Nothobranchius furzeri: one gene and its partners. The protein of the gene in region 7 interacts with the protein of the main gene of each other region in a biochemical or structural test. Links are inferred from orthologs where the notes say so. Each region holds a gene or a part of one and is shown on either strand. Other genes may lie near its edges.

Evidence for each region.
Region 1: the proteins of lrrk2 (region 7) and nek1 interact on a protein array, tested with the Homo sapiens proteins (2 studies listed by BioGRID and IntAct, with this or other methods). The link is inferred for Nothobranchius furzeri from reciprocal best matches to the Homo sapiens genes LRRK2 and NEK1.
Region 2: the proteins of lrrk2 (region 7) and cdc42ep3 interact on a protein array, tested with the Homo sapiens proteins (2 studies listed by BioGRID and IntAct, with this or other methods). The link is inferred for Nothobranchius furzeri from reciprocal best matches to the Homo sapiens genes LRRK2 and CDC42EP3.
Region 3: the proteins of lrrk2 (region 7) and anks4b interact on a protein array, tested with the Homo sapiens proteins (2 studies listed by BioGRID and IntAct, with this or other methods). The link is inferred for Nothobranchius furzeri from reciprocal best matches to the Homo sapiens genes LRRK2 and ANKS4B.
Region 4: of the proteins of lrrk2 (region 7) and eukaryotic translation initiation factor 4E-binding protein 1, one has a biochemical effect on the other in vitro, tested with the Homo sapiens proteins (3 studies listed by BioGRID). The link is inferred for Nothobranchius furzeri from reciprocal best matches to the Homo sapiens genes LRRK2 and EIF4EBP1.
Region 5: the proteins of lrrk2 (region 7) and ndufaf7 form a complex in vitro, tested with the Homo sapiens proteins (2 studies listed by BioGRID and IntAct, with this or other methods). The link is inferred for Nothobranchius furzeri from reciprocal best matches to the Homo sapiens genes LRRK2 and NDUFAF7.
Region 6: the proteins of lrrk2 (region 7) and gak interact on a protein array, tested with the Homo sapiens proteins (3 studies listed by BioGRID and IntAct, with this or other methods). The link is inferred for Nothobranchius furzeri from reciprocal best matches to the Homo sapiens genes LRRK2 and GAK.

What each region holds. Positions count from the first base shown.
Region 1 is NC_091748.1:39,057,581-39,061,656, reverse strand, and holds the start of nek1 (serine/threonine-protein kinase Nek1), read right to left. Parts: upstream 2,801-4,076; 5' UTR 2,661-2,800; intron 2,373-2,660; 5' UTR 2,341-2,372; coding exon 2,224-2,340; intron 2,132-2,223; coding exon 2,035-2,131; intron 1,885-2,034; coding exon 1,787-1,884; intron 1,655-1,786; coding exon 1,571-1,654; intron 1,485-1,570; coding exon 1,417-1,484; intron 1,329-1,416; coding exon 1,242-1,328; intron 468-1,241; coding exon 413-467; intron 197-412; coding exon 1-196. UniProt on the Homo sapiens protein: Phosphorylates serines and threonines, but also appears to possess tyrosine kinase activity. Involved in DNA damage checkpoint control and for proper DNA damage repair.
Region 2 is NC_091752.1:7,949,782-7,954,039, reverse strand, and holds the start of cdc42ep3 (cdc42 effector protein 3), read right to left. Parts: upstream 2,801-4,258; 5' UTR 2,571-2,800; intron 1-2,570.
Region 3 is NC_091752.1:56,799,427-56,803,636, reverse strand, and holds the start of anks4b (ankyrin repeat and SAM domain-containing protein 4B), read right to left. Parts: upstream 2,801-4,210; 5' UTR 2,570-2,800; coding exon 2,409-2,569; intron 1-2,408. UniProt on the Homo sapiens protein: As part of the intermicrovillar adhesion complex/IMAC plays a role in epithelial brush border differentiation, controlling microvilli organization and length. Plays a role in assembly of the complex.
Region 4 is NC_091757.1:46,259,649-46,263,827, forward strand, and holds the start of eukaryotic translation initiation factor 4E-binding protein 1, read right to left. Parts: upstream 2,801-4,179; 5' UTR 2,479-2,800; coding exon 2,343-2,478; intron 1-2,342. UniProt on the Homo sapiens protein: Repressor of translation initiation that regulates EIF4E activity by preventing its assembly into the eIF4F complex: hypophosphorylated form competes with EIF4G1/EIF4G3 and strongly binds to EIF4E, leading to repress translation.
Region 5 is NC_091742.1:17,055,007-17,059,141, forward strand, and holds the start of ndufaf7 (protein arginine methyltransferase NDUFAF7, mitochondrial), read right to left. Parts: upstream 2,801-4,135; 5' UTR 2,571-2,800; coding exon 2,522-2,570; intron 1,989-2,521; coding exon 1,828-1,988; intron 1,517-1,827; coding exon 1,436-1,516; intron 1-1,435. UniProt on the Homo sapiens protein: Arginine methyltransferase involved in the assembly or stability of mitochondrial NADH:ubiquinone oxidoreductase complex (complex I).
Region 6 is NC_091757.1:57,439,124-57,443,140, reverse strand, and holds the start of gak (cyclin-G-associated kinase), read left to right. Parts: upstream 1-1,217; 5' UTR 1,218-1,390; coding exon 1,391-1,532; intron 1,533-4,017. UniProt on the Homo sapiens protein: Associates with cyclin G and CDK5. Seems to act as an auxilin homolog that is involved in the uncoating of clathrin-coated vesicles by Hsc70 in non-neuronal cells. Expression oscillates slightly during the cell cycle, peaking at G1.
Region 7 is NC_091744.1:48,474,694-48,478,193, reverse strand, and holds part of lrrk2 (leucine-rich repeat serine/threonine-protein kinase 2), read right to left. Parts: intron 830-3,500; coding exon 643-829; intron 569-642; coding exon 387-568; intron 270-386; coding exon 46-269; intron 1-45. UniProt on the Homo sapiens protein: Serine/threonine-protein kinase which phosphorylates a broad range of proteins involved in multiple processes such as neuronal plasticity, innate immunity, autophagy, and vesicle trafficking.

The DNA of each region.
Region 1 (4,076 bases), on a different chromosome or scaffold from region 7:
GTGTGAGAAACTTCTCTATCCTGCAGAAAAGGAAAGGCTTGTCCAGTACGCTGCTGACTGAGGGCCTCTCTCGGGGGTTTCGTTTAAACAGCTGCGCCAAGAGAGACCGCAGTTCTTGGGAGTAGTGAACAGACACAGGAGGGAATGAACCACGAATGATCTTCAGGACCAAGTTCTTCATGTTGCCAGCTTCAAACTAAAAGGAAACACACACACACACGACTATTTGTATAATGAATGAACATGTTTAAGACAATAGAGTGGAAATCAACAGCACGACATTTCTGAATGTCAGATTTGAAACCAGAGTGTTTGCAGCCAAGAGCAGAATATATGAGTGAACACTGCAGGACTACAAAGAATGCATTAAAATGTGCACCGATATGTGAACAGCTTACACACAAATACTTACTGCATGCTTAAGAGTGCACATTTCATAGAGGACACATCCTAGGGCCCAAATGTCACTGCAGAAGGAAGGACAGTAGGGAAATAAGGTACACATGAACAGGCAGGGATGGCAGTCAGGGAAGGTTTACGTTCACAGAGTAGGCTATTAATAGTATTTAATGCATGTTAAACTGATTGGGGCCTATGTGAAAACTCCTGACTAAGCACTGGAATAGTTAGAATGACTAAAGTAGACACCATGAACACCTAAAACAGGCAAGGAAGAAAACAGTATTAGCTTTCTGCAGTATAAGTATCACGAGGTGACCATGCTGACATCACCAATAAGCAACACAATCCTGCATGAACTCACTGTTAAGAGTGCGGATATGAGGACTAAGAGGTTCTAATTTAAAGAGCAAGTCACCCCTACCAGAGTCTAACTCAACTCCCACTTCCTGTTTGAAAAATGCAACAAATGCTGTTGCCTAGCAGACCGAGGGGGCGAAGCCACTAATAAATACACACACAGGCTCACAACGACATTGTGACATCACATGGTACCAGCTAACGTTCTAGGGTACCTCTTAGCCAATAGCGATGGCAGATTTAAATTCAAATGCAGTGCAGAGTTTTTACCTGACGACGGCACAACACTGACAGTTTTAGGCAGAAAATTTAAATTTAGACTAAAATGCACTAAAGTGCAAAACTACTGACGACACGTGTCTGCAGCGCGATTAGACATGCATTGATAATTTATTAGAAGACAAAAAAAGCTGATTTGGGCGTGACTTGCTCTTTAAATGAAGGAAACACCGAAACACTGTTGATTCAAACTCATCCATTACCTTTTGTTGTTGTATGGTTTGTTTTCACAAATCTCTGGTGATAAATAATATGGTGTTCCTATGCATGTCCTCGCAAGATCAACAGTGCTGAAAATGAGAGGAGAACAACGTTTTTGTTGTCTTAACAAGTTTAAATGTTGTCCTTACGAAAATCAGCAGAAGGCACTGAACACACCTATTCAAGACTCTCGCAATTCCAAAGTCACCAAGCTGTACGGTCCCATCTTTTGTCAAAAATATGTTCTGTGCAGACATATTGACAACATTAAACAAACAAATAAATAATAGAATAAATAGCCTGTAAACCACAGATGCACAGAAAACAGTACCTGTGACTTAATATCCCTGTGGAGGATTTTTCGATCGTGTACATGCTTCAGAGCGAGGCAAATCTGGACAAACCAATCCAAGATCTTGGAAAGACAGAAAAAGGGCAAACCAAACAAGGAGGTATCAAAACAGAAATCACCATCGCATAATTCATTTAACACAAACACAGCTATTCAAAAATAATTACTCCATAGAGTTACAGCATCAAAGCTTACCTGCTCTTCTGAGAACAAAACTCCTTTTTGAGAGTTGATCTTCCTGAAAAGGTCTCCACCTTCACAATAATCCATCACGATGTACAAACATCCCCCTTCTAAAAATTCGAAGTGATATTAAACACACACACACACACACACACACACACACACACACACACACACACACACACACACACACACACAGATTATTGTAGTACAATTATTGTATTTCATCACAACAGGTGAACTCTGAATTATGTAAATACCTTCAAAAGACTCCTTATACTGGACAATATTGGGATGACTCATGTTGGCAAGAACAGCAACCTCTCTGCGAGATTCCTGCCTCTCTTTACTTGACATCTATAAAATTATATACAACTCATGTAAATTCATGGATTAACATGAGGAGGTAACTCACCCATGGAAAACGTGAATTATGCAAAGCATCTTACACCAGATATGCCAATCTCCTTGATGACATACTGGTGTCCATCTTCTTTGGATTTCACCAGGATAGCCTTTCCAAATGAACCTTCCCCGATTTTCTTCACCTTTTCGTACTTGTCCATGTTACTAGATAGGCTGACTTTACATGCTGAATCTGGAAATAGGAAAGTTCTGGATGATCTCTGTCTCTAAGCTTTGAATTAAAAGTTAGAAAACAAATGTCATTCATTAATCACAATTCTACACTAGATAAAACAAAAAGACATGAAGGAGTCAGAGCAGTGATGCTGAGAGTCAACACTGCCAGGTAGCTAACGCTGCTGACAGCTAGCTAGACGATGATTGCTACAAAAAACAAGAGTCCCGCTCAAAACCTGATGATAAAAAACGACCCTTACGTATCAAAATGACAAATTAATTACGAGAATAACATTTAACTTACCATTAGTTCCTCCAATCCTTGGAGTTTTGAAGAGATTCTAGAAATCGCTGCTAGCCTCACGCTCGAGCTGATGACGATGACTTTCTTTAGTTTTCATTGGACAATTTGACATTTCTCGAAAAGTGATTGGTTCCTACAGCTGTTGATCATCTCTCATAACCAACCCCCAATAAGGTTGTTGCTGTGAACATTTCCCTTAGCAACCACCATACAATTACAATAGCTAGCCACCGTTGAGGGATGTCGTTAAGCTTCGGCGTTACTCACTTTTTTTTTTACTTGTCATGAATTCAGATACAGACATTCACACAAACTGTGTTTTTGTGACAAGCAGTGGCTAGATCAGAATTAAACTCGCTTGTTATGTACATACAACACAAGCGAGTAATGTTGATCTAGACCACTGAATAATTTAGAGTCCCTTCTGCTTACAAACATTCTTTTCTTTTAGCACGGAGTAACACATTCGTTAAATTATCGACGTATATGCTTGTTACGCGTTCAATGTTGATGAGAACATTGACTTATTGACCGATGCTGGCAACACACCCAAAACAACCGCCCCAATGATAAATTAGGGTCACGTGACTGGCTCACGCACTCCTCCGTGTTTGATATATTGCAGTCCGAGTCGATGCAGATGACGCAGTGGTGAGGACTAGTGAAGATGGCTCCTTTTCCAGACGAGGTGGATGTTTTTACTGGCCCACACTGGCGAATGAAGCAGCTTGTGGGTCTGTATTGTGAAAAGGTGCGTAGATATCAATTTAATTCGTTAATTTTGAGTTTTACAAATGAAACCGATCGTTTTTCTTACTAAAGGATGACTGAGCGCAGGTTAGCATGCTAGCTAGTTGATGTTAGCTGGTAGTGTGTTTAGCTGTGAACCGAAGCAGATGAACTGTCGGATGTCTGGATTGCTCCTACACACGGATTCACGTGTTTTTAGTTAGACTTGTGTGGAAATGCCTGAGTTTTACTTGCCTTTAATGTTGTTGTATCAGCTCTTTTGTAACCTACTCGAAACACGCCTCTTGTAGTTTTAGTTATGTTCCAATTAACAGAGCTACTTTGCTAATGGGATTGGAGAGCAGGTTGCAAGTTCTCTGCCAATACGTGTCAGACTAGCATATTTAGGTCACCACTGCAGATATTTCTGTTAACGCGGTACACTGTGCACAATTACGTGAAGCATCTGTTAGCATAACTATGACAACAGAATTAACAATATTTCAAGTTTCACTACTGACCTAATTTTAGTTTTTTTTTTCAGCTGTCTCAAACGAACTTCTCCAACAACAATGATTTCCGTTCCTTTCTTACGTCGCTGTGCGCCACCTTCAAGGAGTTCAAGATGCATGAGCAAATAGAGAATGAGTACATTATTGGCCTGTTGCAACAGCGTTGCTGCACGGC
Region 2 (4,258 bases), on a different chromosome or scaffold from region 7:
TACATCACAGAGAGAGCTCTGGTGCTGTAGGAGAAGTGTGTTGAACTGAATTTGAGTGTTTATGCGAGGTTCTGGAGATAGACAATGTGTGAGGGTGAGAGAAAGTGTTAACTAAAGGTGAGAAATAGACAGAGGTGTGTGTGTGTGTGGGGGGGGGGTGGGGGGGGGGGTGCTGCTGCTGCAGTGTTTAACTGAAGGAAAGGAAAATGATTTCATCTCATCTCTGTAGCATCTCTCCGGATTTTTAGCTCTTTAGTGACCTGCTGGAGTCAGAAACTAAAACAGACCTATGAGGCGGCTTCCTGCAGCACCACCGTACTGCACCGTCCTCCATCTGTCGCCCTCAGGAAGCAGAATATCAGCCGATAAGTGCTGCTGGTCCTAATAATCAACAGTCTGCATTACAGTCACATTAAATCAAAAATTCTAAGCAGGAACTTTCAAATCAACACCTTATTCTCTCCCAAACGGCATCTGAATCCATTTTTGTTTCGATCTATTAGTCACCGAAGAACACACAGACAGAGCTGCTATTAAAGCAGAGAAGAGTTGCTATGGGAGCCTGGAGGGCCAAATGGAGTTGGTGTCATTCAGAAGCCTCCAGGATGCTGTGCAGAAGAGCGTTTGCCTCCTCCTCTGACTCCAGCGCTGCCACACGACACTTGGTTACAGCCTTCAGAACGGCAGGAAGTGTGAATTATTTTTGGCGCCATTTCCACAGCCTAAATCTGAGTTTCCATACAAACTCAACCTGGTTTCAGTTTCGTTCCTGTGAGTCAGAAAGTGGAAGAAATTGAGAAATCTTTGACTAGTAAAGCGAGACACTTTGTGACTCGCTTGTCACAAAACATTTTACGGGACGTTTCTTTGCCCCATGTGACATGATCAATGATTGATCCCTGTAACTGAAGATTTGCTCATTTTCTGACCATTGTGTGTCTTCGGTTAGTCGGCAGCAGTTGCAGTCAGACTCCGGCCTGGAATCCATGACCTTCAGGCTTCCTGCTGATGGGTCACTTTGACTTAAATAGCAAACATGAGTGGAAATCCAAGAGCTACGAGGAACAGGATCCGCCTTTGATCCCTCAGTTCTCTTCCTCTGAACCATTGCAGCCACACATCAATTAGAAATCACCGATTTACACAAACCTCCGGAGACCCAACAAAGCTTGCTAAGCCTTTGTTGGTTCCACAGCTGAAGGACTCCGGACGTCCCTCAGCGCACCCCCGCTGCTGACCAGCCTGCAGGCTGTTAATAGCTGAACAGGTGTATTCTAGCACACTTCAAAGCTAGCGCTTGACTTGCACCATCCTTTTGGAGCTACTCCAATAACAAGACTACATGGCACGTGCGGGGGTGGTGCAATCCTGGCGGCGCCGCCACCACCGACTGCTGCCCTGGGTTTCAATTGCACATCTTGGGAAATGGGAGATCTGATGGCAGATTCCCCCTAAAACTGCTTGCCTCGGCAGCCCTGCTGCCTTAATTGGAGCTGTGGGAGAAAACCACCGTGCCACTGGGTCAACGGCTTTCTGTCTGGGTGTGAGCTGATCTGGAGCCTCTCCAGCATCCTTAAAATTGAAGCTGTCTCAACGTTTGGTTGTTTGAAGGCTGGAAATGAGCAGTGGGGCAGCAGGAGGTGATGAAACCTAGAGTGTGGAGGCAGATAAATATAGAGCTGGCATCTAGTCGCTTAATGAACGGCTCGTGATTTGTCTGGGTATTTCTGGACACCTAGAGGTCTGTGTGACATCATTGGGTCAGTTTATTCTGAGAGGTAACCTGCTGCTGTTCCAGCTGCTGCCGGGTCAGAGGAGCAGCTGGCCTGGTCATGACTGAAACCACGCATCCCTTAAAACATCCATGACTGGATGAGCTTCAGGACTTCTTGTTGCAGTTACGGATAGCGTTTCACAATTCCTCCCACAATCTCCGAAAAGCAGCTCGAAGGGAGTTTCTGAGTGCTTGTTTGACATCTAAGCGTGGCCTCGGCCCGGGTCACGCCTTTGCCCAGAGAGACCCTCTCTTTGAGGCTGCTTTAAAAAGGCACATACCACAGAGGGTAATGGCAGCCTTACAAAACAGACAGAGCTGCTTGAAATAAACCTCAATTACAGGCAAAGGTCTGACTTTTGAGGAACCTGGTGCTGTGAGTGGATAGTAGGGTGGAGTATTGGTTCTGTGCTCCGTCTCACTGCCCTGGTGCCACCCGCGAGCACTGCCAGAGTTATCCTTGGCAGATGTGAGCAGGACTCAGAATGAAACATGACGAGAATGTCAACACGATAGCAGAAAATAAGACGTTTTCTGAGTGTAGCCTCCTCAAACCCACTCCTCTTGAGAAATAACACTCTGCAGTTGAGAAAAGCATGCTCCCGCCAGCAGCTGGACTGAAAATGTCTTTCTTGGAAAAGCCGGAGAAGATCATGTTGCCAAATTCCTGTCATAGATGTAGACAGACCAGCGTTTCCATACATGTCCACTGTTCTGGCGCACATTAGATCCCGCTGCACATTCTGTACTGATGCAAGATGGCACGAAACCTGAGATAAAACATGCTGCCACTCACCTGGGATGCTCTGATGAGGGAGGGGGTGTCGTTGTGTTTTGGTGAAGGCTGCAGCTCCTGAATGAAGTGCTCCTGAGGTTTGCTGACACTGTCATAGGGCTGCACGTCTGGCGACTGGGACGCCTGCCGGACAGCTGTGTCAGAATTGCTCTCCGGCTTCTTTTCCCCTCTCCAGCCAGTCGAGTCTCCTCCTACGCCTCATCTCACTCCCCCCACTGGCTTTCTCCTCCTCTCGTTTGCTTTACTCGCCTGTTTCTCTACTTGTTTCTTCTCACATGCCTTTTTCCAGCAGCACCTGTGCACGTCTGTCCTCTCCCTCGCAGAGCTTGTGTTGGTTTGGTCAGTTTGCGGGTGATCTTCGTTCCCCCAAAATAATCACAGATGGACGTCTGCCTGCCTGTTTCTTTCTCTAAAATGCTCCTTCTTAGTGTGTAAAGTGCATCTTGTTTCGGTTAGAACCTGATCTGGAGATGCAGTTGGGACTCATCCTGTCATATCTCTTTATTAATGGCATCTCTATTATTTCCCTAAACTGCGTTTTGTGTCAAATCATGATGTGCTGGCCCTTTTCAGAGAGCTGCAGCAGGCTGAGGCGTGACCAGATGAGCAGACGGATCACTGCAGAGTGCTGCAGCACTGCAGCACACGTGGGGGGCATTTACAGGCAGCGCATGGCTGCAGCAGACCATATAAATTAGGGTTTAAACATCTAAAATCTAATATAGCTACATAATAAATTATAAAATATCCCGTCACCTTGGTAACCATTGCAGCTCAGAGGTGATGTCACAGAAATTTCCACCGAGAAGAGTAAAGTGTGTGTTTTAGCTTTTGCAACAGCTAGGTGGAAGAGACGTTACAGCTTGGGGGAGGGGACCTGCGGTCGATGCTCGCAAGTTGCATGTTTAGAAGGTAGAATTGAATTCCTGTCCTCACTAGCTGCAGCAGAAATTCAATCAAATCCATGATCTGCCAGCAGGGGTGCTTCTAAGATGTGACGTTTAGGGGGCTCAGTCCCCTTAGCACTCCTGTCCGCGACTGTTGGTCAGAAGACTGCGGTTGCCATGTTGGGTCTAGTTTTACACTCTTAGAACAAACTAACATCCAAACAACTCCAACCCATGTTAACTGTTGACCACATTTGTATTAGCCAGACTCTCATGTGCAGAAGTCCGGGTAAAGAGGAGTTACAATGTCCTGCTCCGAATGCAGGTAAGGAGCACTGCTGCCAGGGGACTGGGCTACCTGTGAGTGCTTTGGGACTGGAAGAGGCCCGTTTCAGTCTCCAGTTTCACCAGAGAAGGTTGTTGGATCAGTTGCAAAAGACTCATACGAGAAGTCAGGAAATGTGTGAATGACAAAAAGGACCCGTGATTATCTATGATTTTCCTTCACCTGCACTAACATCCAGCCACCCCAGCTCCATCCCATAGTTCAAACCAAAAATAATTTAACAAAAATTGGATTGAATTCAGAAACGCACCAGAAAACTTCAAGAGATGCAGGTGAAACTGGAAAAAAGAAATCTGGTGCAAAATTTCATTTGTGTCAGTAAATCAACTTAAAGATGAAACTATATGAGGTCTGGGGGTGCTGAACAGGTTTCCATCTGACTTGGTTCAAGATAAAAGGCAGACATGGATGGATGTGTACTGAGACATGAAACTTTTAAAGCAAGCATAAAAACT
Region 3 (4,210 bases), on a different chromosome or scaffold from region 7:
ACGTTTCAGCACCCTGTTCCAGTAGATGTAAACATAAAGCCAGTGTCATGCCCAACAAAATAAAAATTTGATTATGCATTTTTTAAATATAGCTTTTAAAGGAGAAACTGTACATTCATCCTGCACCTCTAAACGCCCTGTGGGGGTATTATTTAAAAAATAAGAAAAGTGTTCCATATTTTAACTTTAAAGTTTAGCTCAACAACGTGTCTTTTGCAGCTCAAAACAGATGCAGAGGAGAAAGGAATGAAAACGAAGTAGGCCTTATTATAGATGTCGAGAAAACCTTGCAAAAACGATAAAACAAAGATTATTATTGTTGTCAGTTAGTAAAATTAATTTTTGTATGAACAAAATAACTTTCATCATGTTTTTTCCAACTCTGATATATATTAATAATGTTTTCTTCTTTGTAGTTAACATTATCTGTGCAAAAATGTGTATTTGAATAAAAACAAAAAAGTGTTTATATGCAAAGGAAATGATAAATATTGTATTTGAGCTCACAACAGATAGACTTTTACAGCACCATCAGTGGTTAAGTCAGATCGATACTGTTCAAGGTTTAAAATATATATTTTTTTTCAATGAAGGTTGGATAGATTGATTGAAAACAATAATATTTTAAACCATGAACAATATGGATTTAGGACAAAACATCTAACTTCAATGGCAATAATGGCATTAACAGAAAGCCATCAGTAACACTCGCTATAGAGAGCCATGTAACCCTTTATTTATGTTTATGTTTATTTATTTGGCAGACGTACAAAGTGACGTACAATGTTTCAACCTATAGGGCATGTTGTGATCTGTGGGGGAAGCTCACGCATGCATGGGGAGAGCATGCAACTCCACGCAGAAAGTCTACAACCGAGTTTCGAACCCTTAGTTATTATAACTTTTTTTGCTGATAAACTGAAAAAAATGAGTGTCTAATCATGCTGTAGACATGTGTAGTCAATAATTAGGCACTTTAGTGCATCTTAATTCAAATTTAAAAATTCTGCCAAACTGTCAGTATTGCGCCATCTTCAGGTAAAAACTCAGCACTGCATGTGTATTTTAATCTGCTGTCGTTATTGGCTTAGAGGTACCCTATGACATCAGCTGGTACCATGTGATGTTACAATGCCATTGTGAGCCTGTGTGTGTGTGTGTGTGTGTGTTTGTTAGCGGCTTCGCCCTCAGGCAACGGCATTTGTTGCATTTTCAAACAGGAAGTGGGAGTGGAGTAAGACTCTGGTAGGGGGTGACTTGCTCTTTAATGTATTTTAAAAAGGTGTCAAATTAAATGTATTAAGAAATTATATAAATATGAATTAAGATGGTGTCTGCAAAGTGAGTGTGCAAGTTGAATTTGTTGAGGGGGATGAATTTTATGTTGCTTTAGTAAAAAAAAATAAGATTTTTTTCTTCTCTCTGTTCCTTTTCATTCTTTGTTTTTTTCTGTGTGTGTTGTTGTAAATATTCCATGTTTTTGTTCTTATTTTCGTCTTGTTCTTTGAAATAAATAAATAAATAAATAATAAAAAAAAGTAGACACACGTTGGTTAAACACGTCTCCATGTATTTAATCTGAGTGTTTATCATTAAGAGCGCTGGCAACATGCTTGTGCTTTGCTGATCAAACTATTTTATTTATAAATGAATGGGAAATATAGTTATTTATTTATTCATTTATTATTATTCTTTACTTTTCGATAACCTTCAAAAAGCAGTCTCTTCACAAATCTCCCTTTGTGTTGTGTAATATAAAAGTAAAATAAAAACCACAATATTATTGTGTTATAACATAATAAGTGTGTTAAAATCAGTGGTTTACAGAATGAGCTGTTGCTATTGAGCTGTTAAACTGGAAGGCCTTTAATGGTTTTCCTTCCTGTTGGAGCCATAAAAGCTTTAATCGCTACAGGAGTTTATTATGAAGCCCAGATCTGACTGGTTCTGATAAAAAGACTTAACTTCTGATTTAGGTCATGTATCAAACATATTCTCTGGGTCTCAGGCTAGATTTTAACCAGTCCTTTGTTGCTGTTAATGGAGCCAAGGTGGGGGTACTGGGGGATAGATGGCTGAATGAAAGGCTCTTTTGTTTTACAGAACAAATAAAAAATTTTGGCTCTGCTCAAAGGAGAATGTGGAAGAAAGATGGAAAACATCAACCGGTGTAAATAAAGTCCCATAAAAATCAATTGAATGAAAAAGAAGCCATAAAACACCTTCTACGGTAACGCTGACCTTTGCTCCTTTGCTGTTATTTATGACTTATTGTTAATCTTAATTTAATTCTCTAGGGAGGAATAATTCATTTGTGAATAGCAGTGATCATAATAACAGACAGAGTTCTGATCCACAAACAGCCTGATTTCAGACTAATCCTGGTTGGATAATAGAAAGTAACTTACTCTCTGCTGCATATGAGCTGAAGAGCGTTGACGTGTCCATGAAAAGCAGCCAGTAGGGTGGGAGTCATCCCATCATCATCTGCGGTGTTCAGGTGCTTCCTTGTTGCCTCCTTCAAGAGGTCCAAGTTACCATCGATCGCTGCCTTGTGGTACCTCGACATCTTTCAAATGAATGTGTTGCTGCCTCCTCTGACCACAGAATTGGAACAGCGATGGCTGACCCGAGCAAACAAAGTGATCACTGGGCGTGTGAGCAGCTGAGCTATAAAACAAAGTCCAGCTTGATGTCGTCAGTTCCTGCTTTAACTATCATCCCTGAAAGCACAAGTATCACAACAGACATGTGACCAGTTAAAGAGGATACCAGTTTAAAAGTTTCCTACATAAGGAACCCAGCAAATTGCATCGAGTCACTAACTAGTGTCAGTGACTTTACAGCAATCCTCATACTAAGCAAGCATTTAGCGACAGTGGAGAGGAAAACTCCCTTTTAACAGGAAGAAACCTCCAGAGGATCCTGGCTCAGAATAAGCAGCCATCCACCACGACTCACTGGGGCTGGAGAAGACAGAGCACACACACACACACACACACACACACACACACACACACACACACACACACACACACACACACACACACACACACACACACACACACACACACACACACACACACACACACACACACACACACACACACACACACACACACACACACACACACACACACACACACACACACACACACCACACAACATATATACCAAGTAGTGTTTCTATGGTTACATTGTGATTTCTTAGTAAATATTCTATTTGGTGAGAGATAAACTTTATTGTATTTATCCTAGTGAATCTATAATTAAATGGGTAAACTAGTAGTAGCACATTCAATGTCAAAGAAAGTTAAATTGTATTATCAGGAGAGGGAGAATGTTTAAGTGGTTAGCAACAGTGTTCAAGCCAATGGCCCCCTCCATGAGGCCACCACAGCTCAGCAGAACATCATTCTAGCTTCTTCTGGGGAGAAAAACACTTAGAGAAAAAACATAAACAGCTGAAATAGCAGAAAGTAATACAGTTAAAGAGCAAATTGTAGAAGAAAGTTGTAGAGTGTAGAAAGTGGTCAGTGTGTCCTCCAGCAGTCTAAGCCTATAGCAGCATAACTACAGAGATAACTCTGGATAACCTAGCCTTTTAGGTGGAAGCATGTTGGAGGCAGGGCAAGGGAGAGTCGTTTTTACCGACTGTACACTCCACCTCCCTCTACTCCCTCACTTGTCCAGATTTGGGCTAACATCAGATTTTAACCATAGACCCTATCAAATAATTTAAGTCCAGTCTTAAAAGTAGACAAGGTGTCTGCCTCATGGACTAAAGCTGGGAGCTGGTTCCACAGGAGAGGAGCCTGATAGCTAAAAGAACTTTCTCCCATCCTATTTTTAGATATTCTGGGAACCACCAGCAAACTTGCAGTCTGAGAGTGAAGTGTTCGGTTAGGAACATATGGAATAATCAGGTCACTTATGGAAGATGGAGCTTGATTATTAAGAGCTTTATGTGTGAGAAGGAGGATCTTAAAATCTATTCTGAATTTAACAGGCAGCCAATGTAGGAAAGCTGTAATGGATCTACGTAGTTAATTATGACCAATAAGATGTGATGATTCCAAATAAATATGAAATATCAACCTAATTGATCTTTGAATGCTTAAACAGAAGAGTTTAGGATTTTTTGCTTGTTTAGGGACCATTAACAAAATTCGTATTAATTCAGGCAGAGTCAAGTATATAGAAAACTAGT
Region 4 (4,179 bases), on a different chromosome or scaffold from region 7:
TGTGTTATTAACGTAAATCTGAAATAAATAAATAACAGGTCTGTTTTAATTAGGGATGCACCGATACCGATACTGGCATCGGTACCGATACCAGTATCGGTATCAGTGAAAGTTAACCGATACCAGGAACCGATACCAATGCAGTTGCTTGAAAATGGCTTCACTGTAACTTGTCATTTCTGTTCACCTAATATTTTAGTTTTGTGATGATTTCCATTCATATATTTTACTTTTTATTTACCTCACAGTCTTTTCCTGTTGAAAGCAGAGAAGAAAATAAAATCTGTATTCCATATCATTGCATTTTTTTGTGTGGTGGAAGTATCGGTATCAGTAATCGGCAGCGGCAAGTACCCAGATCCAAGTATCGGTATCGTATCGGTTTGGAAAAAAGAGGTATCGGTGCATCCCTAGTTTTAATCACAATGTCAGTTAAACAATGAAGCCTCTTTGGCAAAGCAGTAACAGCTCTGACCTCATTAAACTCTTAAAATAAACAATCTGTCAGATTTAAAAAAAAATCTAGTTTTGTTGGATTTATTCAGGGGCTGATCTACTGGGGTGGCAACTGCCTCCCTAAAGGAAAGTTTTGCCACCTCAGAAGAAGGCAGCAATAATTCATGAAATAGTTGTGGCAAATCAGACATTATGAATGTGAAAGTAGCATGTCCGATTACACCGATCATGACACAAGCTGATAAAATAATGACCTGAAATAAAAAAAACATATATGGTTATGTAAATACTGATGAATTAACAGGGAAAGAAATGTGTTTGAGTGAATAATAAAACTAAAGTTTAGTACCTTGTTGCAGTGAAACATTGTGTTGGTGGTGGCACAAAATGCCAGCCCACTCCAGAGTGGCTGTGGCTACATCGTAGCTTACCATCCCCGGCAGTGTGAACGTGAGAGTGTGAACAATATAACCTTCTGAGTGGCCTAGTGGTAAGAGTGTCCGCACTGGAACTGGGAGATCGTGGTTCATCGGGTTATCCCAAAGACTTTAACTCATTCACTGCCAGCCATTTCCTGATCGCTGAAGACCTTCACTGCCAGCATTTCTCGCCATTTTTACTGTTTTTTAAGAGTCACAGAACGTTGCGCGCTAGGATGATGTCGACGCCAAAACAACCAAAACAAAGAGGAGACTCACCTCTTAGATCAGGAAGAATCCGCGTGTTTCAAGCGTTATCCATTCTTTCATAATTCGTTGTCGAATTGTGATCGGCAGACGCTTTTCCGGTTCGCGCCTCATGTTTTTTTTTTTAAAGGAACAACCCAAACCGATCTCCTAACACATGGATTTTCTGCTTCCTGGTCATGTGACCTGTGACGTATGCGGATGAAGATCAGCTTCAGAGCTGAGACGTTTGCTTCTCGGCGCGGGGACTCGTTCCAATGCCCACACAGTAAAAAAATTCCAATGACGACTATTGGCAGTGAATGAGTTAAAAATGGGACCCAATGCCTCCCTGCTAGACACTCATCTTTAACCACCAAATAGTTCCCGAGTGCAGCCACTGCTACAGCTCACCGTTCCCCATGAGGATGGGTCAAATACGGAGATGTCATTTCACCAGCGTGTGATGATGACTAATGGGACTTTAATGGAATGCGCTTTGAGTTCCAAGAAAAGCACTGTATAAATCCAATCCATTATTGTTATTATTATTTCTTTCCATATAGTGCATCTATGCTGACCTTGGTACAGCTCAGTGCATAGGAATTCACAGACACATTTTTAATGGATAGTTTAGTTCAAAAGCTTTTGTGTGCCCAAAGAGTATAGTAATTTATGCTCCATTTTACCATCCTCAAAATTTTGCCCCCTTCTGCCACCCCGTACATGTTTTTCTAGGCCCACCACTGGATTTTTTTCTTTTGCTGCATCTGATCCCAAATTCCAGTCCAGTAGGTGGTCGTAATGGGCTTTTAAACTGGTTAGGTCACCGCCAATAAACTCAAGAGCACCGATTTGATCACGTGACTCAGATCCCAGTGACAAGATGTACAGAAGTCAAAGTAAAACCCTAAAAACGATTTTCACTTAATTGAAAATTAGTTATTGTGTTGCAAAATTACATTTACAAAACGACATTGGTCATATGCCTCAAAGCCACTTTTTAGTTTTTCACTATTCTGTTTTTTCAATGATCGCTAGTTAGCGTTAGCGGTTAGCTTCAGTATAGCTAGCTATCAGATGACAGCAGCCAAGCCGACCTCATGGAGTTAGCATGAACACACGCAACAACGCTGCTGTTAAATGGATTCAGGTCTCGTGCCACTGACCTTTTGACCAAGCACACAAACGTTAATGTGGAGTTAAAAACACACAACGTACCGCCCGGTGTGGTGCTAAAAAGGGTCCCCCCGGGAGTAGTGGAGTAGTCGTGTGGCATGTGGTCCGCTTCGTTGACGGCCACTGTCCTGGTGGACGGGATGGCCTTGGCATTTGTCTTCTGAAAGTCTGTGGACATCTTCTCTCAACTAAAAAATTAAAAGTAACTAACTGGATGACATGAAACAAGAAGAACGTCTGGGTTTGACAGAACAAAGCCAGAGGAGTGTTAGATTTGGCTCAGCAGCAGAACGGTCGCCTTCTGATGAATAAAAATAAATATCTAGATTTCATGAGTGCAAACTATGGCGATTAAAGTTAGCCACATTAACACACGCGCTCTCACTCAAAACGGGTCGAGGATGTTTGGTGAAAAAGGACCTCAGCAGCACCCGTTTCTCTGTTTCCACATGCACACAAAACAACACACAGACATACGCAGGCAGACCATCAAGGCATACAGACAGGCTGCTGCAGCCCTGTAGGGAGAACGCTGTTCGGTGCAAACTAAACGAATTTATTCCGCCATCTACTGGTGCATACTAGGCTACAGAGATTAAAATAATAATAATAATTATTATTATTATTTTTAAAAAACTATGTATTTATTTTCACCTCATTCTATTTGAAAATTTTCTTAAATACAAAATCTGCAGACACTGTTCCAGATTTTCACCTTTTAAGGAACGTTATATTGCGTTATTATGCTTTCAACAAGAAGATTGCCTTATTCTAGTCCGCCTCCGAAATGATTTTAAATCATGTCAAGTTGACAGATGATTTATTTAAAAGGAGCAAAATCAGTAAGTAAATCCTGCTGTCATCTTCTGCTCAAATATAATTATTGAATTTATTCAGGTGTGTGTGTGTGTGTGTGTTTCTTCGGCATTTTAATGTATTTTCAATACAATTTGCTTTTAAAAGCCCTTACATAATTGTTTTATTTATTCTGACCACATTCCTAGCTCTGAGATGTTAGATCTATAACTTCACAAGTTTTAATAACACAAAGAGAAGCTTTTAAATCAGATTCAGATTTCATGAATTTCTTTGAATTCATGTTTCTTTTTTGCAGCACGTCTATAACAGACTTCCCCCAAAGCTTGATGCATCTCCTGGCAGGATGGTTAAACGAGCGAAGATCTACTCACTGTGTCAGTCAGGAAAAAACACACTTCAAAGTCAAGAAACGTCATTTAAAGACATGAAAAAAATTACACGCAATACGCAAAGATGTTTCATTTCTTTATTAATTTTTGTAAATGTTGAGCTGGTGTACAGAGTAAATTGTCAACAGATGCCCTCAGATTTTGATTGGATTAAAAGGTTTTCACATGTATATTTTATGTTTGACTCTCCATGACAATAAAAAAGCAAACAAAATAAGTTAAAACACCCACAAAACCCCTATTTATCCCCAGGTTGCAGGCATTACCCAAACTTAAAAGTCTCTTAGTAGCTACAGCTGTATGATGCAAAAAGGACATCCATAACATAACAGGAATCCCAGTTGACAGGGGTGCATAGCATTCTAAGTAAATATATATATTTGTATGTTTCATATATATAGCCATTTTTATATTAAAAACTTTTTGTGCATGTGCGCAGTTGCATTCCTTAGTATCGAGTAATATGCTATTAATAATGTCTTCAATCCATTCTAAAGGAATATACATGTGTTCTCTAGTTTTTGCAAGAGTTAACATTTTTGCATGAACTTGGTGCATGTTTCAGCAGTCCATTGCAGGGCTCCTCGTCTCACTGGTGTAACCACAACACGCTCTGCTTTGCACCAACTTGGACTCTTTTCTAGCATCCAGACCGTCACAATGTGGAAGCC
Region 5 (4,135 bases), on a different chromosome or scaffold from region 7:
TGGGACACCTAACAGATCGTGTTGATTTTCTTTGAGGCATTTCCATAATTTCATGCTGGCTTTTATGCTGATTAGCTTCCCCGTTCCATTTTCCGCTTTCACCGCGGCGCTGCGCTCGGTTTCAATCAGGCTGTACAGCAGAATTTCCCCTTGTAGCGATGTTTTCCATAACTCTGATTGCTTCATGCTATAGATCGTTGGAAAGCTGCTTTTACGTACTTAGGAACTGTTGGAATTTTTTTAATCTGATCAGCCATTCAAAAGTTTTAAAACGGGGCATTTTGGATGACAAACTCAGCATATCTCTGAATCTGTGTTGTGATTGGTTGCACTCAAGACAGGGAATCCCGGTGGAGACCGTAATGTATTGCATATGCACGAAAAGCCCCATTTTTAATCTTTTCAGCACTTTTGGAATCTTAATGATATCTTGAACGGTTCAGGAATTATGGTAATGAGAAGTGCGCATGTCCAATCCCGTCTGTGGCGAAAGGATGGTAATAAGAATATTGTGGCATTAACAGAGGGGTGCCGGCAGTCAGGGCTAGGGGCCCCCCAACACAAGGGGGCCCCAGGTGGCCGCCGACCTATGCCTAATGGTAAAACCGCCACTGCCAAAGACACTGCACAGCCCCATGAGAAGTCAACAACTCAGACAAATACTGAGAGGCAAGAACATTTTGTTATTTAAAAACAAGTAACAACATTTTAAAATCAATTCTGTACCCGACCAGAAGCCAGCAAAGGCCTCAAAGAACCGGTGAAATATGGTCATACTTTTGGGTACCAGTTAAACTATACTGAGTATTGTATTGGTGGTATTGTGTACCAGGATAATGCCAGTACGAGTCAAACTGAGGAGGTCTACACGCTTACTGCAGAGGGGATGAATGACCTACGGCAGCGTTCTGTTTTACATCTGGGATGTCTCAGTCTGCCTCTGAAGGAGCTGTCCATGGTCTCCACAGTGGAATGCAGTGGGGTGGGACGGGCTTTTAAAATGGTGGTCATCTTCCCCAGCATCCTCCTTTCACACATCTCCTCAACTGAATCCAGTGGGCAGCTCAGAACTGAGCTAGCTAGCTTGTTCAGTTTCTTCCTGTCTCGGTCAGAGCTGCCTGCACCCCAACAGACCAGCAGAGTGGATAACAGAGCCAACCACAGAGTGATAAAAGGGTTCTAGCAGCTGGGAATTAACTGTGAAGGACCTCCGCCTCCTCAGGAGGTGGAGGCGGCTTTGGTCCTTCTGAAACAGAACATCTGTGTTGTTGGACCAGTTCAGTTTGCTGTGAACACCAAGGTACTTAAAGGTATCCACCACCTCTGAGGAGAACCTCGGCTAATTAGAACCATCTCCAAAACCTGGACATGAGAACCAGAGCATAAACATGTTTGCAAGCCTCCAGGTACTGTTTCAGGGATTCCAGAAGCTCACCTCCCCAAACACCTGGCTGATCTCTGGAGACGTGATGAAGTCTCCATCGGGTCCCAGCATGTTGTTCCTCACATAGTAACCCTAAAGGAGAAGACAGGTCAGTCTGAAGAGCAGCTCCAGTAGAAAAACCATCCTAAGATAGGACAAACAGGTCCATTCAGAACCAGCAACTAGAACTAAGGTCCAAACTGTCAGGTTCACTTAGTCTGGGCTCTATGAAGATAAACATGGACCTGTCTCATGTTTCTACTGTTGCTCTGACTCTAAACGTCCTGCCACAATTCGAGAAGAAATAAGAACAAAGTCCTCTCTCCAGAGGTGGTCTGATGATCAGCTGATCAGTTTGAAGGAATAATAAATAAAATGTTCTGGATAACAGGAATGTTACGTACCGTCACTGGGTTGGTTAGAACCTCCCTCATGTACTCAGCCACAGACACTGGACCAGTGGCTTTTATTTTGGAGGTCAGATGTTTGAGCATGGATGGCTGGGACTTCCTGTAGTCTGATGGAGAACTGCAGAAGATCCTGGACTGAGCTGACCTCCATGCCACTGTCCAACAGATTATTGATGTTAGAACAACTGTTTCTGAGCAGCGCAAAGACAACATTAAACAGAACCGATCAGAGTAGCTGCTGTTCTCCATCCCAGAGACCACCGGAACAACTTTTACTGTTCAACGTCTGTCTGACGCAAAGACTGAGATCCAGTTCTGACCTAACCCTAACCCATTGTAAGCCCCACTACATGACCCTACATTCATCCATTCACACTCTGATGGTGATGAGCTACACAGCTGCCCCTCTGTGTGTTTACCATTCCCACCCTACAACAAGATGTCTGACTTTAACAGCTGATGTTATTAACATCATGTTATTATTAGTGACGCATGAATGGAAGATTTGAACCCAACAGCACGGGAGAAAAGCCAAACAAGCTAAAAGTAACGCTAGTTCCTGTAAATAATTACCGTCTTCTACTTGGTAACGCTTTGATGCTGCAGAGTTCGTCTGAGCCTGACAAGAACCCAACCAGAACCAGAACCCTGACGAGCTTCTGTTCTACAAAGCAGCACTTGTTCTTACCTGTTGCAGGTGAGCTGACAGCGCGGATGAAGGCTCTGCTCAGCCTCATTCCGCCTTTGAACAGGTAAAACACACCTGTGTGCGTCACACCAACCAGTGAGCCGTTAGCATGACACAATGTTTAGCTGCTAGTTGAAGGCGGGAATTAACAAAGTTGCAGTCGGACTTGGGACTAAGCCCTCCGTTTTCAAATATGAACACAAAACTACTTAAAAAGGTAAAAAGTCGCAGGAGTCGCGTGAAAACGAGCTAACTGCTAACACAAGCGGCGCTTCTTCTTCTTCGTGTTTATTGGCGGGTGGCATCTGACTTCTAGTTGCATTTCCGCCACCTACTGTGCTGGAGTGTGAGTCGGAGTAAGAGCGTAAAAAAACTAAATTCTATTCAACAAACCACTGTGTTTTAGACTCAGTAACCAACTTATATTTCCTTTCTTCACCATTTAACAAATTCTTTACATTTATCACTCCACCTCCCATGTTTTTTAATTTCTCCCTGAGTTGTCCTCTACTTTCCTCATATTTTATGCAGTCACATAAAACATGTTCCACTGTTTCTCCCCCCACCCCACAAACCTGTGGGATGTTTCCCTATCAGATGCATCGTATTATTAAGCCCAATCTTGATATTATTCTTTGATCTCTACTATTCATTCCTATATTTTTCCATTTTCCTACTTTCCCTTGTATCTGAAATAAATGTCTTCCTTTCTGGAACCAGAAGTTCTGCTGGGTCCCGTATTTATATGTCGATGGTCCCGCACCAGAACATCTTTACTTCAGTGGCGTGTACAGGCTTTTTCAAATGGGGTGGCCCAGGTGGGGTACCAGTAAGTGGGGTGGGGGCACCACATCTGTATTATTATTTTTTTTGTATTCTAGTGAATTTGTGAGCTCTACTTTGTGTCACGTCCATTTTCTCCCCTCTTCAGGAACATTTTCTTTTCCTGTTTTCTGTAGGTTGTCTTCTCATTTGAACGGTTTTGTGGTGGTTCTTGGTGCACCACCACCAGCTGGAGTGGGATGAAGAGCAGGACTCTAAGGCCCTGTCCACACGTAGCCGGGGATCTGCCAAAACATAGATATTTTTCTACGTTTTGGCCTGTCATCCACACGAAAACGGAGTTTTTTCACACGAAAACGGATCTTTTTAAAAACTCCGGCCAAAGTGAAGATTTGCGTTTTCTCTGTTTTGGGTGTCTGCGTGTGGACGGACAAAACCGGAGTTTTAAGGTCCGCAACGTCACTTTCCGCGACACAAAAATTCTGAATTCACGTGTGCGACCTGTGTTTACACTAGCCGGCATCATGGAAGCCCTCGGCGCTGCGCTCTGTCACTACCCGATCCATCAATTGTCCAAGCGCTTTTTGCTGGTTTGTGTTTGCAAGAGGAACTACTGCTCCTGGCGCAAGACCACAGTCGATCGACGAGGTTAAGAATGGGGGAGGTACTGCCGCCTACAGGTCTGGCATGTCCTTAACAACGTATTTATCCGGGTACGTGTGGACAGTTTTGTTTTAAAACAAGGTGGTGTGGATGCAAGTTTTTGGAGGGGCGGATATTCGTTTTCAAAAAACCCCGGCTATGTGTGGACTAGGCCTAAATATTATTTAT
Region 6 (4,017 bases), on a different chromosome or scaffold from region 7:
ATAAGGCGCCAAATATTGGTGCGTCTGCAGAAACCAGAACACTTCTCGGTCTCCTCTTGGGTTTATAGTCAGATCTGTAAAACTAACAATGCCAGCATTATGAAACTCTCATCACAAGGTAGATGTGCTAAATAAGAATATTTGTGTTGTAAATGTTAAACTCAATTAAGTTGGTGAAATTATAGCATGAAAACTAAATGCGCCATATTTGAACATTTATACTTGAACAAGTAAAATAAATTAGGAATATTTTAATGTTTATGTTTATTTATTTAGCAGACGCTTTTATCCAAATCGTCTTACAAATTATAACCTATAGGGCATGTTGTGATCTGTGGGGGAAACCGGAGTACCCGGAGGAAACCCACGCATGCGGGGAGAACACGCAACTCCATGTATAAAGGCAACAGCCGAGTTTCGAACCTGCAACCTTCGTGCTGCATGCGAGACAACAGTAACAACTGCGCCACCATGCAAATCTGTTATTTTTAGACATATTCATAATATTCATGATAACATACTAACAAGTATGATATTGAATATATTTTACAGTTTTATAGTAAGATTTCTCTGGGAAATGAAGGCAGTCACTGCGCCAACCAATCTCACCATCAGTGATGATGATGAACAGGAGGAAGATGATAATGGGACAAATCCTCAAATATAAAATATTCTAATAATCTATACTTGATCCAAAATAGTATCTATTGTTCAATAACTTTTCAAAAATATTCCACAATGATTGCTTTTTCTTAAAAAAAATTCTAAATTGTTTAATAATTATGAAATATTCTGTATTTTTTAACAGTGATATAATGTTCTAAAATTAGCTAAACTGTGTCTTATAATGATCTATATTATTCAAAAATAACGATTATTTAACTTGTTGGATTTCTTTTACCAGAACAGGGCCAACGTCCATATTTGATCACTTCGTTTTCTCTGACTTTCTGCATGAAAATAAATAGTTTTGAAAATTGTAACAACAGAAATGCCTTTTGGTTATGGACTACAACAACACCCTGGGGTTGAAACATTTTTTTTAATACTTCAATGAGTGCCCTATAAAGAGTTAATAGCAGATCTGGTCTCATCTGTGTAAGATCAATATTATAAAGCCAAATTCCAACGTCATCAGCAGGTGCTTTTATTTTATGCACTTCTGTGTCACGTGACTTAGTCACGGCCAACGTCATCACCTTTCACGGAAGTCAGAGCTGTGACGATGGTGGCCTTGTCGGTTTATTCGCAGGAAGACAATGTTTGCTTTCAATGAAAAAATAACACCGCGTTAGAAAAGAACAGCCGGTGTAGTTTTCTCTGCGGAACCTGCGGGACCTTGGAGCGCTCATCGGCGGCCTAAACGGGCGCTGGACAAGAAAATACAAAAATGTCCCTCTTCCAGTCGGCACTGGATTTCTTAGCCGGGCCCGGCTCATCCGGAGCGGCAAGCCGGGACCAGAACGACTTCGTCGGCCAAGTCGTAGAGCTCGGTGACATGAAACTGAGGATCAAGAGGGTGATTGCTGAAGGTGAGAAACTGAACCACGACAGGAAACGGGACCGTAATCTCTTACAGACATGCTAGGTGGTAGCCGGATAAGCTAAACATACTAGCAGCATCAGTTAGCAAGTGCTGACCTGTGAGTCACCAAATCCCACTCGATCATTTTGTTTCTATCTAGTAAAAATTCATTTTGAATGTGTGAAATGTCTAAAGGAAGACCTGTTCAGCCCATCCCGCACGTTCACGTGACTTGTGTTGTTTATGATTTGGTGGGAGAACGCAGACATTGTAGGTTAAATTACCATAGTGCTAATATAATAATAACAACAACAACAACAACAACAACAATAATGAGAGATATGAGAGGCGTGTTGGTAAACAAACAGCCACATCAGAACAAGTGGCTGTTTCTGGTTTTTGAGAAACTCGTTCTGAGCTGAGATCTTGGGAACAAATGTACACCCCAATCAGAAATATGAAAATAAAGATTATTTTAGAATCCTGGACAATAATTTCCTATGATCCTGCAGCAGACACAGCTTTGTTTGTTTGTTCACAGCAAATTAGATACAGCGGTGGTGTAAAACTACTGAGCCTGTGTTTGTGGTAGCAACACAGTGTAATTAAAGTAAGTTTATTAAGAGTGGACTTTAAGCACATAAGATAAAATCTAAGCATCATTTTTTAAAGAGATTTTCTGTGTAAATATTTTTAAAGGAGCATTTTGTCCTTTAAAAGTCATAATTAACCTGTGTCTTATTTGTTTTCCATTTAATTTATGCACATATACTCTCAGTATATTTACATGAATCAGCATCTGTGTACTCTAAATGATGGAGTTGTACATGCCCACAAGAGGTTAAAGGGAAAGAACAAAACCTTTCAAATCCAAGCAGGTGGAGATCATTTTACTCAAACACTCTGCTTTTCCAACTCCCATGTTGCTGTTTGAAAGACGTCTTTGTTCGTTTTTACCAGGATCTTTGGTGGAACGTGCTACGAATAAGTGACCTGTAATATTCTTGTTGTCGGTTGTATAATTAAGGGTGGAATTTTTAAACAAGGATGCTTGGAAATCAGAAGAAAATGAAACTTAGGTTTCATCTCTCCTCATTGTTACAGGTGCTAGCGTGCAATACCAGTCTGCTTATTTGCTTAGTTTATTATTTCTTTACTAGCTTATCGTTTGCTGTTGCTTTTTAATTTGACTGAAGTGAGATCATGTTATTATAGGTGTAGATGTTACAGGTTTGAATCCCAAACAAGTTCAGGAATTTGGGGCTGGAGTCATGAAACCATCTTCCACACCTGGGCAGTCCCTCTTATGTAAATAAAGTGTTAAAGATTAGAGGCTTGAGCCTGTACTTCTAGTGATTTCTGTTGAGCAAAGCGGAGCTGGTGGTTAATGAACCCCTGGCTACAGTGACCATGCTGGTTTTCTTGGACCTGGTTGTGAGTAGGTTTTTGTTAAAGGTGTGTTTGACTGAAAATACAAATTTTTAAATGTTTTAAAATCCTCAAGAAAGGCGGTTGGATTTTTTTAATTGTCCAACCATCCATTCTCTTCCGCTGATCCGGGGTGGGGTAATGGGGGCAGCAGCCCAAACAGAGAGGCCTAGACTTCCCTCTCCCCAGCCACTTGGACCAGCTCCTTCGGAGGAATCCCAAAGCGTTCTCTGGTCAGTTGAGAAACAGTCCCTCCAGCGTGTCCTGGGTCTGCCCATGGGTCTCCTCTCATTTGGACTGGAGGAAAACCTCACCAGGGAGGCATCCAGGAGGCGCCCTAACCAGAAGCCAGAGCCACCTCAACTGGATCCGCTCGATGTGGAGGAGCAGCGGATCTACTCTGAGCCCCTCCTGGATGACCGAGCTTCTCGCCTATGAGCCCAGACATCCTGCACAGAAAACTCATTTTGGCCGCTTATTTTCACTTTAATGGCACGATAAAACTCCTCCTATTCCGCCTTCAGGATAATAAGTTACGGTCATGTCTACTAGAGTAATTGTAGTTGTGTGTTTGTTGAAAGACGCCTGTTGTGTTGTCACCGTACACTAAAGCTGAAGCAGGTTCTTTTTGTTTTGTGGCAGCAAAGCTAGTTTTTGTGAATGGCTCTGAGTTCTTTCATGAATTAAGCTGTAAAGAGATCAGGAGGACACTTTCAGTGCTTCTGTTCTACAGAAATAGTTTAAGTGTCAGTCTGTAACCGACAGAGAAGTCATGAATGCAGCATTTCTGTGAAAATGTGCGTTTTCAGCCATCCAGGGCCTTCAGGTTAGAGAAGTCCTGGAGACATGAACGGTGTTGTGTTTCCGCTCAGGGTCTGCTCAGCCGTGAGCGGATACGGTCTTGGTTACACGTTACCTGTGGTTCAGGTTTTCTGCAGGCTTTGTGATCCTTTCTGTGGCATTTTACCCTCAAATGCTGAAGAATCCATCAAACTGCACGATGTAGGCTGGCATATTTGATTAATCTCACTCTGGAAGCTGTTGAGAAAAGTTCCACCGAAGTG
Region 7 (3,500 bases):
GATGACCTCTAGTCTAGTGGAGTCAGATTTCACATGCAGGCTGACCTGAGAAGTCCCAGACATTCAGGACCATTTTCTTCTTGTCCCATTCTCTGATGGTCCAGTCAGAGACTTCAACACCAACAGAACTCTGCTTTGAGTTTGGCTGCGAGCGCTTGAGCTTCATCAGCTGCCTGATCAGTGTGGTCTTCCCACTGCCCGAGTTGCCCACCACGATGAGCTTGATGCGATAATACGGCACTGACTTCTTCAGCCGCTGCTGCAAGAACCTGAGAGGTTAGATCAGACACAGCAGATAAATATTTGTGTTCTGTTTATGTCCCTGAAGATCAGATGAATCTGTCTTCTTCTGTAAATAATATCAACAGCACAGCTCCTCCTCTGACCTGACTATGTCTTTAGTCTTGTTTCCAATGAGTTTCAGGTCCAGCTCCAGTCGAAGGCCATCCAGCGGCAGATCCCACAGCTTGCTTAGTTTTCCCATTTCATCTGGGAAGGATCGCAGATTGGAGTTCTGGCTGACATCTAGGGACGTCAAACCCTCCAACAGGCCGATCTGTGGAGGGATCTGGATCCAAACATCACAACAATCTGTCCTCTGTTATGAAACATTCACATTAAATCCTGTGTAGGGTTCTTTACCTCAGTCAACCTGTTGTCACTCAGGTGCAGTTTCTCCAGTCTGGTCCACCTGCAGACTGGTCCACTCACATCCAGAACTTTGATGCTGTTCTGACTGAAAATCAGCTCCCTGATGTTACTGGATGCCCAGAAGCCCGGACCCGGGAGAACCGTGATGTTGTTGGTTCTCATGTCCACTGATCGCAAACTGAACAGACAGACAGAGACGGAGGCCTAACGAAACGTTTACTGAAAAGTTCATTGAAAGAATTTCCCTCTTACTGATAACATCCTAATAACTTTTGCAGACGTTCATGTCCCTCCCGAGTGTGATGCAAAATGTGTCCGTTTATTAGTAGATGCAGCAATCTCAGAAAGTGAGGGAATTTTAGTACGCGGGGGAGATTGGAATACAATACTAAACAAATCAATAGATACAACAATCTTGAAAGGGTACCAAAGGCAAAGATCAAGAACACTCAAGTCATTCCTAAAAGAGTCAGAGCTGATCGATGTGTGGAGAGACATGCACAAACTTGAAAAAGGTCCCACACATTACTCAGCTGTACATCAGGTTTACGCGAGATTAGACTGCTTCCTCATGAACTCTCTCAATAGACACGGAGTGATTAAGTGTGAAATTGGGACATCGGATGTTTCAGACCATAATATTATAAGTCTTATCCTTCACTTGAGAACGGGGGTAGGAAACACTACTTGGAGACTAAATGTAAGTATACTTAATGATAAATATCAGACTGAAGAGTGTATGAGAGAAAACAACACTGTCGAGGTTGAGCCAACTATAATATGGGATACAATAAAAGCAGTAATGAGAGGGAAGCTTATAGCAAGAACAGCCTACCTAAATACGATAAACAAAAATATGAGGAATCCATCTAATTATTAAGGAATTTAGAAAGAACACAGCCAAAGAAAACAGACGAAAACCACCTAAATCAGATAAAAGACGTCAAGAAACCAGTTGACGAAATATTACAAGGAGAAATAGAGAAAAAAATTAAGATTTACTAAACAAACATTCTACGAATCAGGATGTAAAGCAACTAAAATGTTGGCAAAACGTTTGAGAACCCAGCAAACGCGAAATTCAACACACAAGGTAAGAAATCTAATGAACAATAAACTGCTATTTGAACCGGAAGAAATATCAAAAAGTTTTAAAGGCTATTATTCAAAACTCTACTCCCAACCACAGGAAAGTAATGAAAGTCTGATTATAGAGTACTTCAAAGATTTAAACTTACCCTCACTGCAAAAGGAACAAAACGATGCCTTAAGTAAACCAATCACAATGGAGGAACTAGAAAACGCTATAAACAGGTTGACATCAAACAAATTCCCAGGAAATGACGGCTTTCCTAGTCAGTGGTATAAAACATTTAAGACAACTTTAACCCTTATAATGTTGGACTCTTTTAATTGGACTTTGAATTGCAATAATACCACCATCTTGGAAAGAGGCACTGATATCGGTGTTGCCAAAGGAGGGAAAAACAAGGAACATTGTGATTCTCATCGTCCAATCTCTGTACTAAACGTGGATTACAAACTGTTTACATCCATCCTATCCAAACGTTTAGAGCAATATTTACCCACATCGATTCACGATAACCAAACTGGATTTATAAAGGGGAGACAAACGCAAATTAGCATTAGGCGAACTTTAAATATAGTGGAACAATATCATAATCAAAATATATCACTAGCACTAATTAGTTTTGACGCTGAAAAAGCGTTCGACAGTTGGAAGTACTTAAAAGATTTGGCTTTTGTACTAAAATATTAAAATGCATAAAGGCACTATATAGAGAATTCCAACGGGTCGAGTGAAGATCAGTGGACTCTTGTCGGACAGATTTCAGATATTCAGAGGCACCCAACAGGGATGCTGTCTCTGTCTCTCTTTATTTGCTAGTTATATCGAACCCCTAGCTCAAAACATTAGACAATGCCGGGAGTTAAAAGGGGTTCATTTAGCTAATGAGGTACATTTAATTGGACTTTTTGCTGGCGATATTATTATATAATTACAAAACCCAGAATTAACTTTTTGCAAACTTATTACTCATTTGGAAACCTATGGCAATGTATCAGGTTACAAAATTAATGTCACAAAGACACACAGTTAACTACATCCCAAATACCACTGTAGACACAAATACCAAATTAACTGGGACTCCAAATCTATAAAGTATCTGGGAGTGTCGATCGCCCACAACCTCAGCAAAACAAAAGAGATGAACTATAATTTGATAAATAATAAGATTAAAAGGGACTTGGATAAATGGTCAAAACTTATTTTAGATTTCAGATCTAGGATGGAAGTAGTGAAAATGAATCTGCTACCCAGATTCCTGCATGTTATCCTCTCAATACCTGGCTCAATCCCAGAATCTCAATTCAATGCATGGGATAAACAGATCTCCAGATTCATTTGGGCGGGCGCAAGACCACAGATTAAATTAAAAGCCCTTCAAGTGTCTAAAGAGAATAGAGGATTAGCCGTACCCAATTTATAAGAATATTTTTATGCGTCACAACTAAGATATGCAGCCTACGGATTATCAGGTGAGTTGGAAACGAATTGAAGAAAAGGTAGGGAAATATAAACCACAGAGAAAATTGGCTATTGAGGAAAACATGGACCAAAGGTGTAAGAATTGCATTGTAGAAGAAACCCTGAAAATATGGCGAGATATCATACAGAAATATAAGCTTGATAAGGACATCAAACTTCTGACACTGCCTCCTCATTGCCCTAGTTTTCAGCCGGCAGCCCTAGAAGAAACAAGGTGGAATGGGAGGGGAATGACTGCCATCTGTAAGCTCGTCCAAGGCCATTCTTTTAAAGGATT